Arabidopsis thaliana: one gene and its partners. The protein of the gene in region 3 binds, or shares a complex with, the protein of the main gene of each other region. Each region holds a gene or a part of one and is shown on either strand. Other genes may lie near its edges.

Evidence for each region.
Region 1: WIP1 (region 3) and RANGAP1 share a complex: the UniProt entries of both Arabidopsis thaliana proteins name them as parts of the ran complex.
Region 2: WIP1 (region 3) and SUN2 share a complex: the UniProt entries of both Arabidopsis thaliana proteins name them as parts of the LINC complex.

What each region holds. Positions count from the first base shown.
Region 1 is NC_003074.8:23,322,521-23,326,349, forward strand, and holds the start of RANGAP1 (RAN GTPase activating protein 1), read left to right. Parts: upstream 1-1,958; 5' UTR 1,959-2,312; intron 2,313-2,565; 5' UTR 2,566-2,587; coding exon 2,588-3,829. Other genes in the region: CYCP1;1 (cyclin p1;1), read right to left, coding at 623-887, 973-1,373. UniProt on the Arabidopsis thaliana protein: GTPase activator for the nuclear Ras-related regulatory protein Ran, converting it to the putatively inactive GDP-bound state. Plays a role in spatial signaling during cell division.
Region 2 is NC_003074.8:3,358,870-3,362,469, reverse strand, and holds the start of SUN2 (SAD1/UNC-84 domain protein 2), read left to right. Parts: upstream 1-1,767; 5' UTR 1,768-1,947; coding exon 1,948-3,027; intron 3,028-3,600. Other genes in the region: ASD1 (alpha-L-arabinofuranosidase 1), read left to right, coding at 1-16, 99-217, 304-375, 465-568, 650-706, 787-976, 1,052-1,198, 1,281-1,439. UniProt on the Arabidopsis thaliana protein: Component of SUN-protein-containing multivariate complexes also called LINC complexes which link the nucleoskeleton and cytoskeleton by providing versatile outer nuclear membrane attachment sites for cytoskeletal filaments.
Region 3 is NC_003075.7:13,363,054-13,366,882, forward strand, and holds the start of WIP1 (WPP domain interacting protein 1), read left to right. Parts: upstream 1-2,229; 5' UTR 2,230-2,683; coding exon 2,684-3,566; intron 3,567-3,744; coding exon 3,745-3,829. Other genes in the region: AT4G26450 (uncharacterized protein), read left to right, coding at 1-1,340, 1,421-1,574, 1,650-1,728, 1,812-1,867. UniProt on the Arabidopsis thaliana protein: Mediates and enhances the nuclear envelope docking of RANGAP proteins mediated by WIT1 and WIT2 in the undifferentiated cells of root tips.

The DNA of each region.
Region 1 (3,829 bases), on a different chromosome or scaffold from region 3:
GAACCTGAACCAGAGTCTCCTGATGACATTTCTATGGCAACTCCGCTCGCCATGCCATCAACTTGCCGACGTCAGGTCCATGTCAGCACCTTTGACCAGACCGTACACCTACAGGACTTGCTTGACAAAAACGCTAGTGGGATCAAACACATGAAAGATTACCGACAAGAGGGTCATCAGTATAACGTTTAAGGAGTCACATGATGATCCCAGGGGCTACCACTCACGGGACTCACTATCTCCAATCGCACCACCGTCCTCTGACCCTAAGAATAGCAATGGCGGTGGTGGTTCAGGTGCTTGTGGTAATGTTGAGGCTCCTGCTACTGCTGCTTAACCACCGCCCAAGATTAACGATACTCCTTGTAATGGCAAAGCAGCAGAGCCTCCTGTCGCTAATGTGAAATGCAGCAGCAGATGGAATAGTTGCGGTTTGATGTAAAGTAGAGATCTATTTAGTAGTTTAACCAGTATCAAGGAAACTATATTATAGCAACTTCTTAAAGAATGAGTTGGTAGAAATTTTCAGATTTTCTACTACACACAATTGTCACAAACAATCAATCATGCAAAAGAATCATCACTACTAAAACACAAAATAATCCTATCTTACCCTTGCCGATCAGCGTGCTGTGGTTTGAGAGCAGAGTGAGTCGGGTGTCCTCTTCTGCCAAGTCTCTTTGTTGGCTCGGCATGCTTCTTTTATGGGCCACTCGATCTGGAAGCCGTCTCTGTTCTGCTTTTCTAACTGACAACAGTGTGTGTGAAACGTCTGAGGATCTACCTGAAGCTTGAAGTCAAGGGTAAACAACAACTCCATCTCCAATCTGTTTAACTCTCTCGTAGTCACACCTCCCACTCTTGCGTAGTATGCATTGTTGAAATACCTGCACAACACCAGAGATCAATGAATCTATGATTGAAGACTTATTTGCGTGTTGAATTTGATACCAGGTTTAGTGAGTAACATACCTATCATCGAAGACTTTAGCAGCTAACATGACAGTTGTAATGATAAGGCGGTGGACATTAAGGGGTTTGAGAAGGGCTCGGGTCTTATGGAGAAAGTGATCAATGTAGATATGCGCAATGACGAAGCAGGAGGGACTGCAGCAAGAGTACTTGAAAATGCGATCCAAGTAGTGTGCAATACTGATCTCAGGGGGAGATCTCCCGTCAAACACGGTAACAGAGTCTGGCGATCCAAGCAGAATCTTGTCATCATGATTGAGTAACAGAGATCTCTCCAGAGAAGAAGAGAGGCGTGAGAGAACAGTCGGTGGCTTTTTCAATCGTTTGCCCTCAATAATAAGTCCTAACCTGAGGTATACATCCGAATCAATGAAAGCTGGATCGGTTGCGAGAGAGTCCATTTCTCCAACGAATCTGCAATGAAGATGATGATGTGCATAAAAATGGTAACTTTGAATAGGGTTTTGAAATAGAAGACGTATGTAGAGTAAATTTCAAGCAGGTGAACTAATTCCTAATCAAGAACCTAAACCCTCTCTATATGTCTCCCTACCTACCAAGTACCAAGAATCTTGAGAGTCAAGAATTAGGAATAAAGTGGAAGAAGCTTACGAGAATAAAGTGGAAGAAGTTGGTTCGTGAACTAGAGAAGGTCCGGAGAATGGAAGAAAGCAGATCTATCTCCGGCGCTTCTCCATTGTTTTTTTTTTGCTGCTCTGAAGCTTAGAAGCTAAAAGAAGCCGCGAAGAATTGTGAAGAAGAAGGAAAGTTTCCATTATTGCCTTTTATTTTATTTTATTTAATAATTTAAGGGTTTTTGATTTTAAAATGAATAATAATAATAAATACAAAAAAGAAAGGACAGAAGGAAGGAGTGATGTGTGGTAGAGAGAGACAGTTCACCGTCGGCGAGTCCAGCTGGCGGTGGTGGGAGCCCACCGTGTCACCTTAATCATCGCTGCGCTGCCCTGTCTTTTTTCCATTATTAATTTTTAGCAAGAAGAAGACTGGGCTTTCTAAATTAGTTATTAATGGGCTTTGGGCTTTCGTGGTTAGGGTTGTGTAGGGGCTTAATCGTCATTTCGGAGATAGAATAAACCCTAATCTCCATGGATGGGCTCTCCGATGTTTGTCTTTTTGATTTTTGAAATTTGATTTTCAAAAATAAACTAAAGCATCATTGCCTCCCATTATCGTCACGCACGCAGATCAATGATTCTCTCACTCTGCTTCTCATTCACGCTTCTTCTTTGAATTCACTTTTCTATTCCTTTCTTTTTCTCCGTCCGAGAGAGTATAGAGAGACCCATTTCTTCGATCCATCCGCTGAGAAAAAAAAGGTACCGTCGTATTGTTCTCTCATGTTTCTGGGTTTCTTTTTGTTTCGAAATATATTCTTCTCGTTTGCAGTGTGATTTTGAGGGTTTCCTTGTCTAAAAAATGCAGTTTTTAATTAATGGATTTACAATAGAAATGTAGTTAGATTCTTCGACACCATCTTCGTTTTCGATTGGATCTACATGTTATGCTCTCTCTTTTTCCTTGGAATACTATGTCAGATTGAGTAATGGTTGTCCTTGTATTGAATTACAGAAGAAAACCAAGCAGTAGTAGAATGGATCATTCAGCGAAAACCACACAGAACCGTGTTTTGTCAGTGAAGATGTGGCCACCGAGTAAGAGTACCCGTCTCATGCTTGTTGAGCGGATGACCAAGAACATTACCACCCCTTCCATCTTCTCCAGGAAGTACGGTCTTTTGTCTGTTGAAGAGGCTGAGCAAGACGCCAAGCGCATTGAAGATTTGGCCTTTGCTACTGCCAACAAACACTTCCAGAACGAGCCTGATGGTGATGGCACTTCTGCTGTTCACGTCTATGCTAAAGAATCCAGCAAGCTCATGCTTGATGTCATCAAACGTGGTCCACAGGAAGAATCCGAGGTTGAGGTGAGCAAGGATGGTGATGTCTTTTTTGATATATCTGGTGGGAGCAGAGCTTTTATTGAAGAAGAGGAGGCACGCGACCTTTTGAGGCCTCTGGCTGACCCGCGTAACTCCTATACCAAAATCCGTTTTAGCAACAGGAGTTTTGGGTCTGAAGCAGCCAAATTTGCTGCGAGCGTTTTGTCTTCCATCAAGGATCAGCTGACGGAAGTGGATCTCTCGGATTTTGTTGCAGGAAGACCAGAGGCTGAAGCGCTTGAAGTCATGAATATGTTTTCATCTGCTTTAGAGGGTTCTAAGCTTAGGTATCTGAATCTCTCGGACAATGCTTTGGGAGAAAAGGGAATTAGGGCATTTGCTTCTCTCATCAATTCTCAGCATGACTTGGAGGAGCTCTATCTGATGAATGATGGCATTTCCGAGGATGCTGCACGTGCAGTTCGTGAGCTTCTCCCTTCTACTGACAAAATCAGGGTTCTTCAGTTTCATAACAACATGACAGGAGATGAAGGAGCAACTGCCATTGCAGAGATTGTCAGGGAGTGTCCATCTTTGGAAGATTTCCGGTGTTCATCTACAAGGATTGGTTCAGAAGGTGGTGTTGCACTAGCTGAAGCACTTGAACACTGTAGCCACTTGAAGAAACTTGATCTTCGTGACAACATGTTTGGAGTCGAAGGTGGAATTGCCCTGGCCAAGACTTTATCAGTCTTGACTCATTTAACCGAGATCTATATGAGTTACCTGAACTTGGAGGATGAGGGAACAGAGGCACTTTCTGAAGCTCTACTTAAGTCCGCCCCTTCTCTTGAAGTTCTAGAATTGGCTGGTAACGACATTACTGTAAAATCCACTGGAAATTTGGCAGCTTGCATCGCCTCCAAACAGTCTCTTGCAAAGCTGAATTTATCT
Region 2 (3,600 bases), on a different chromosome or scaffold from region 3:
AAAACTTACTACAGAGGTTTTGCATTTCTCTATGATCACATCTTGACTTAGATTTTTGTTGAGCATCTTTGACACTAAATGAGATTACAACTTTACAGGAAACTACATTGTGTTCTATGATGCTATCAAGAAAGCCTATCCAGATATCAAAATCATCTCCAACTGCGATGGATCCTCTCATCCACTCGACCACCCAGCTGATTACTATGACTATCACGTAAAATTTTCTATCTTGACAGAAACTGTAACCGTTGTCTTGTGTTCTCTCTTCCGCCTGAAAAAAGTGTTTCCTTTTTGTCACAGATTTACACTTCTGCTAGCAATTTGTTTTCCATGTATCATCAATTTGATCGCACTTCACGCAAAGGTCCAAAGGTGCGGTAATAGATTATAACAAAACTTAATTCCAACAAACACAAGATGAAGCTTTCAGCGTTTTACTCACTCGTGAACTTTGTTTACAGGCTTTTGTCAGTGAATATGCTGTTACTGGAAAAGATGCTGGTACAGGAAGCCTTCTTGCCTCTCTTGCAGAAGCTGCGTTTCTCATTGGTCTTGAAAAGAATAGGTTCCCTTTGAATTTCTCTTCCCAGGCTTTGATCTCAACTAAAAACATCAAATAAGTTAAACATCTTATGACTTTTTGCAGTGACATTGTTGAAATGGCAAGTTATGCTCCACTCTTTGTGAACACAAATGATAGACGGTATCTCTCACTTACTTTTCCGTTCGAATGGTTACTCAGGAAGATAAGGCAATAATCTCAAATTGTTAAATTGGTTTCAGGTGGAACCCTGATGCAATAGTCTTCAACTCCTCTCATCTATATGGAACACCTAGCTATTGGGTTCAACGGTTTTTTGCAGAGTCAAGCGGAGCAACTCTTCTCACTTCAACACTCAAGGGAAACTCTACTTCTCTTGTTGCATCTGCTATCTCTTGGAAAAACAATGGCAAAGATTACATACGCATAAAGGTAAACCGAGTGAAAGATTCAACCGGAGCTCTGATATTGACCCTAAAAAACTGTTTCAAAATCTGTTATTTGCAGGCTGTAAACTTCGGAGCTAACTCAGAAAATATGCAAGTGTTGGTAACTGGATTGGACCCGAACGTGATGAGAGTTTCGGGATCAAAGAAGACAGTACTTACCTCTACCAATGTGATGGATGAAAATTCCTTCTCACAGCCAGAGAAGGTAAAAATCAAGAGATGGAAGAAACATCATTATCATCACAAATTCTGAGTGTTCCCATGTTCTTATTGGTTTTTATTTGCAGGTTGTACCACATGAAAGCTTGCTAGAGTTGGCAGAGGAGGATATGACCGTTGTTCTCCCGCCACATTCCTTTTCTTCATTCGATTTGTTGAAGGAATCTGCAAAGATAAGAATGCCAATCTCTGATTCTTCTTCCCATCAGAAAACTACCACTGTGTGAAGAGAAACAATGACAAGGAAGTATCAACTTTCATGTCAAAAGTCTCTTTGTGGTTCAAATCTAATTACATTCCATAAATGCTTATAACGTACCCTTGTGTATATATAATAATAGTCTGGTGAATAAATTTACTTTCTTTAATCATGAGCTTATCTCGACTCTAGATATCTTGATATGCAAGAATGATGAAGCAACAGTTTCTTCTTAGCATAAAAGAAGATGACGAGGCGTGAAAGTGGGCTGGGCCATTTTATTTCCATTATTGGGCTTTTAAAAGCCCATCATAATGAATTTTGAAAAAAATGGAGGAGCATCAAAACAAATAAAAATGGCGAAACTGAAGAACACACGATTCAGATTTTCAAAATTGAATTTTGTAGTGATCTCTCTCCTATATAAACTTCCTCACTCTTCTTCCATTTCAAATCTCTCTCTCTGTAGTCAAAATTAGGGTTTATTTATTCATAAGGAAGAGCATTTCGAATTCTGTAGTTCAAAATTGAAGATCATGTCGGCGTCAACGGTGTCAATCACCGCTAGTCCTAGGACAATAAGGCGGACGCCGGTTCTCTCCGGTGAGAAGAAATCTAATTTTGATTTCCCGCCGAGCGAATCTCATGCCAATGCGGCAATTGGAGAGTCGTCTGCTGGTACGAACAAGGATCTGATTCGCGCCGAGGCTGCCGGTGAGAGATCCAACACCTACGACGTAGGTCCGGTGACAAGGAAATCAGGATCCACCGCGACGGGGACTAATACAACCACCACGCAGCGTCGGACGCGGAAGTCTCAGGGGAATAAGATAGATAGAGGGAAATGGAAGACAGTGGTTAGGGTATTCGCGAAGCAATTTGGGGCTCTTTTGTTACTTGTTGGATTGATTCAGTTGATTAGGAAATTGACTTTGAAGGATTCGTCTCTGTCTTCTTCGAATTTCCCAATTGAAACGGAAATGGTGCTTTCGGAATTGGAGAGTCGGATTTCTGCAGTTGATGGTTTGGTGAAGACTACGACGAAGATGATGCAGGTTCAAGTTGAGTTTCTTGATAAGAAGATGGATAGTGAATCAAGAGCATTGAGGCAGACGATAGATTCCACATCTTCTGTGTTACATAGTGAGTTGAAGAAGGTAGAGTCTAAGACAGAGAGGTTACAGGTTTCTGTAGATGAGTTAAATGCTAAACCTTTGGTGTCTAGAGAGGAGTTAGAGAGAGTTTACGAGGAGTTGAAGAAGGGTAAGGTCGGTGATTCTGATGTTAACATTGATAAACTGAGGGCTTATGCTCGTGACATAGTGGAGAAAGAGATAGGGAAACATGTTGCAGATGGCCTTGGTCGAGTAGATTATGCGTTAGCGTCTGGTGGAGCTTTTGTAATGGGGCATTCGGATCCGTTTCTTGTTGGAAATGGGCGTAATTGGTTTGGGACAAGCAGGAGACGGGTTCATAGCAAAGCGGTTAAGATGTTAACTCCGAGTTTCGGGGAGCCTGGACAGTGTTTTCCTCTGAAAGGAAGCAATGGATATGTTCTAGTCAGGCTAAGAGCACCAATAATTCCAGAAGCTGTTACTTTGGAACATGTCTCTAAGGTAGTACTAACATCTCAATACTAAACTTTCACAAAATGATTGATTTTTATATGTTAATTTGAGCCTTCAAGAAGGGTTCTCTGTTAAATGTTGTTGGTATTGAGATGCCCTGTACTTCGGATTGGATTGCTGGTGACAATAGGTTATCGAATAGAGGGCAAGAAACTAGTTTTGTGAATTTGAGTTCTTATAGTTTGAGGTTTAGTTTAGGCACTAGCTGTGACAATATGCATTGAGGAGGATTTTACCTATTGTTATTTTCTGCAAATCACTAGCTTTAGCAGTTCCTTTGTCTAATATCAATGCCACTGTGTTGTTGTGCTTTGTTTGGGACATCGTTGACAGAGAAAAGAACCGTATGTATGGGAAGAGCTTGTAAGTTTACAATTAGTGGAACTGTAATATTCACTGTTTACGGATATCCTTAGGAAACAGTAGCTGAAGGGAAATAGTCTCAAGAGTGTGTAATGTGATGGTCACACATTGCTTTCCATCATTGTTCATCCTTGTGATCATTTGTCTGATAAATTTCTTCTTGTCTGACCACTAAAAGGCAATACTAATCTTACGGTT
Region 3 (3,829 bases):
GACTCGGATTTTGGGAGGAGCGGATCTTGGTCAGAGAGAAGTAAAGCTTTTGAGACTGAGACTGGTGACGACTCTGTGTCTGGGCATCAAGAAGAGCAGCCGCTTGCTGAAGATATTGCTAGCTCGGTTCAGCGGTCAGCCTCTGGTGAATTTATGAGAAAATGTGAAGGAGCAGGTGATTCCGAGTCTGTGTTGGACAAGTACAATCTCCAGGATGAGGCACAGTCTAAGACAGGTTCCTCGAGTGCCGGGAAAGATATAGTACAGGATTGTGAAATCTCTAAAGTATCCGAAGGCTCTTCTAGCTTGAGTGCTGGATCAGGAGAGATGAAAGGTAGGTCTGGTGGTAATGGTGGAGAGGATGAGAACCAGACTGCTATCGAAGATGGATCTATCCATCAACGTTGTGAAGATGCATCTATTGATCAACAGTGTGGGGCTGATGAATCATTCACCAAGAGTGGTATTGATTTGGCAACGCTGTGTAAATTTGAGAAGGTGCCTACGAGGACACGCTCTTCTCTGACTGCAAAAGGCCCAAAGCTTTATTTGAGTCATAATATCAAGGATACCTCTCATAATTCTGGACTTGAAGAAGAAGATCAAACCGAAAATCGATGTGAGACTCGAGGCCAATCATCTGGAAAGGCCGATAGTACTGGTGATGAAAATGACCAAGTTGAAGATTTTGCTCTTGTTCAATATATTGAGAACAGTAAATGTCATAGGTCTAATTCTTTTCCCAGTAGCATTCTCAGGGATAACAGTGAGAAAGAATCAGGATTAGAATTGCCTAATCTGCACAGATCACATTCGGTGGGGAAAGTAGGTGAGAAAAGGCCTGGTGAAGGCAGTGACTTGGAGGAGGGATCAAAAAGACAGAGAGATTGGGTGGCAGTTTCTGAAGCTAATGAACGCTTCAACATGTTTAAAACAAGCGGAAACCAATGCGATCCGGAAGAAGAAGGAAAGACAAGCTCGTTCAACAAAAGACTGATTGACGGTGCTGCTGGAAAAAGGGTCAGCCATGAAAGTCTGGTTAATAACTCTACATACAATAGGACACACACTGGCAGAACAGGTCCAGGGTATGCTGAAGAACATCAGCTGTTTCCTGCTTCGTTTAAGATGTGTGACCTAAATCTAGGGGGAGCGTCGGATGTGAATGATGGGATAAAGGAATCTCGTCAAGCTGTTGATTTTGATCTCTCAATCAGCAGTTCTAGTAAGTCTCTCGAGTTTGGTACGAGTACTCGGATGAGCAATGGTAAAGAGATAGAAGTGATTAATTTGGATGATGATCAAGAAGTGGTAAAGTCCAGCAATGATCCAGGAAGAAAGTACGGCCAAGTCCTACTCTTAACACTTATATATACACACACCTATTACATTTTGGCTAATGGGTTTTCATATCTAACAGGCAAGAAGCTGCTCCATATATGGGCATCGATGACGTCCCAGACTACAATGAAAGACTCATGATGGTAGAGTATCTTGATTCCTTTACTCCAATAAACCAGGGAACCAGTAGTGTCCCACAGAATAACAACACAGTTAGCCTTCAAGACCGAGAGGTACCTACTCTACTTGTCAAGTTTTATGTCACATAGAATGTTTGTTGTTGCTAACAGATCCTGAAAACGTCTCAGGGAGCTATTGGAAATGACCAAGTACCAAATAATACAGACGATGATTCGATCTTCATGTCACTCGGAGAAATACCATTGAGTAAGACCAATATCAAATTCTTTCTCTTTTCTATTTTAGCTTCTTAAAGAGCTGAGATTCATTATGTCTTTGCAATTGTGCAGCATTCTTGCAAGCTTGGGACCAACCTCCAGCTCGAGGCTACGAGAAGCCTTTCTGATTCTCTTTTTTTTTGTTATGTTTCTTCAGTCTGTGTAATGAGTGTGTAGTAGCCCAATTTCGTTTGTGCTAATCTCAATCCTCTCAGATGATGTAAGAATGTGACTTGTGGTGTTTTATGGTTGTATGTACCCTTTGTAATTCTCTGTTTATTCTCACACTGTCCCCATGTTTTAGGTCAGTTCAACAATTTTCTGAAATTGTAATAACCAAAATGATAATTATTAACGGTATATATATGTCGTGTCCAATCTCACGGTCAAAAATGAAGAAGGTGATGCTGAGAGGTCAGGCGATTCCGACACGTGTTATATTCCAACCACCCACACGTAATTTTCAAAAAGGAACAAAATTGATCATGAGGGAAAAAAGAATAAACTTTTTCCCACAAAGAAACTTTCCACATTGAACGAGAGAATTATAGATCTGCGAATCCGATCATTGGATTAGGGTTTTCACTTTTCACCCTCCTTTTTCCATCTCTCTGCTGTATACCCTTCCTTTCTCCAAAAAGACCAAAACTTTGCGATTCAATTCGAAATCTGTGTTCTTCCATTGAGCTGGATTTTCATTTTTGGAATCATTTCTTCTCTTCTTTGATCCGATAGATGGTGGCATGGTAGGAAATTTTAGACCTTTATATTTCTATTTAACCGTCAAGGAACCAATGAATTTGTATAGCTTGTTGAGTTGACTTTTTGATTGTGTATGATCGAATTTGGGATCCTCATTTCGGGTTTTGGGTTATTGATCTGAGCTCCTGTTACTTCTGAAACCGATGTGAATTTGGTGGGGGATAGATTTTTTTGTGGAGTCAATGGATTTGGAGAGTGAAAGCTCTGCACTTGAGTCTGTTGATGATAATGTTTTGATTCAACAAAGTGCCAGCAACGTTTGTGATGATGGTAGGAGTTTGGATAACGGGTCTTGCTCTGATGAGAGTGTGAAACTGCTTTCGACTTCTAATTCTGTTGAACTCGGTAAACCTATGAGTTTTGATTCACCAGGTGATGGTGGTGGTGCTTATTCTCCGGTTTTGAAAGGACAAGGCTTGAGAAAATGGAGGAGGATTAGGAGAGATCTTGTTAAGGACACGTCTGCGAATATGGAGAATAGTAAAGCTCTGAAGAGAGGGTTGTCAGGTGTTGCTCATTCACATGGTAAACAGATGCAGTTTCAGTCACCGGAAGTTGAACAAGAGAGTCAGGGATCTGTTGGGTCTGTTAATATGTTGAAAAGTAGCGGTGATGGTTTTGATATACTTGGGAGTAGTGGTTACGATTCTAGGTTTGTGGCAGGGGTTGGTTTTTCAGCTGGTATGGATTTAGAGATAGATGATGATCGGAGTAGTAAGTCTTCCACGGTTGCAAGAGCTCCCAAGGTTATTAGGTATGAGAAGCCAATGATTAGTTCAGGTCAGGGAGGAAACATTCGTGTAGAGAATAGTAAGAAACATAGAGGAGAAAGTGTCGATTTCGAGAAGGAAAACTCTTATTCCAGCTTGGAATCTGACTCAAGAAAGCAGAGTGGAAGAATGATGGACTACAATGGTGAAAATGGGGAAACGTCAATGAGAAAAGATGATGCGGGAGGAGAAGGCGGAGAGTCGATAAACACGGACAATCGTTACTCAGATGAAATGGATCCATTAACAGAGGCCATCAACGGTTTCTTGGCCTTGCAAGATGCTCTTGAAAAAGGTAGCCATTCTGATTATTTTTTTGCTGCGGATTGTATCTAAACTTGCATTATTTTTACTGCTGTTACATAACTATTTCTTGTTATGAGCCTGCATTATCATGTTGGAATCAACTAATAACATCACATGAACAATGATTATGATGTTTAATGTGACTCTTTATGAAATTTCATTTGCAGAGGTTCAGCAATTCCAGGAGATCGGGAATGAACCAATGCCACAGCATCATGAACAAGTCAGCGAAGCAAATTCACCTCACCCCGA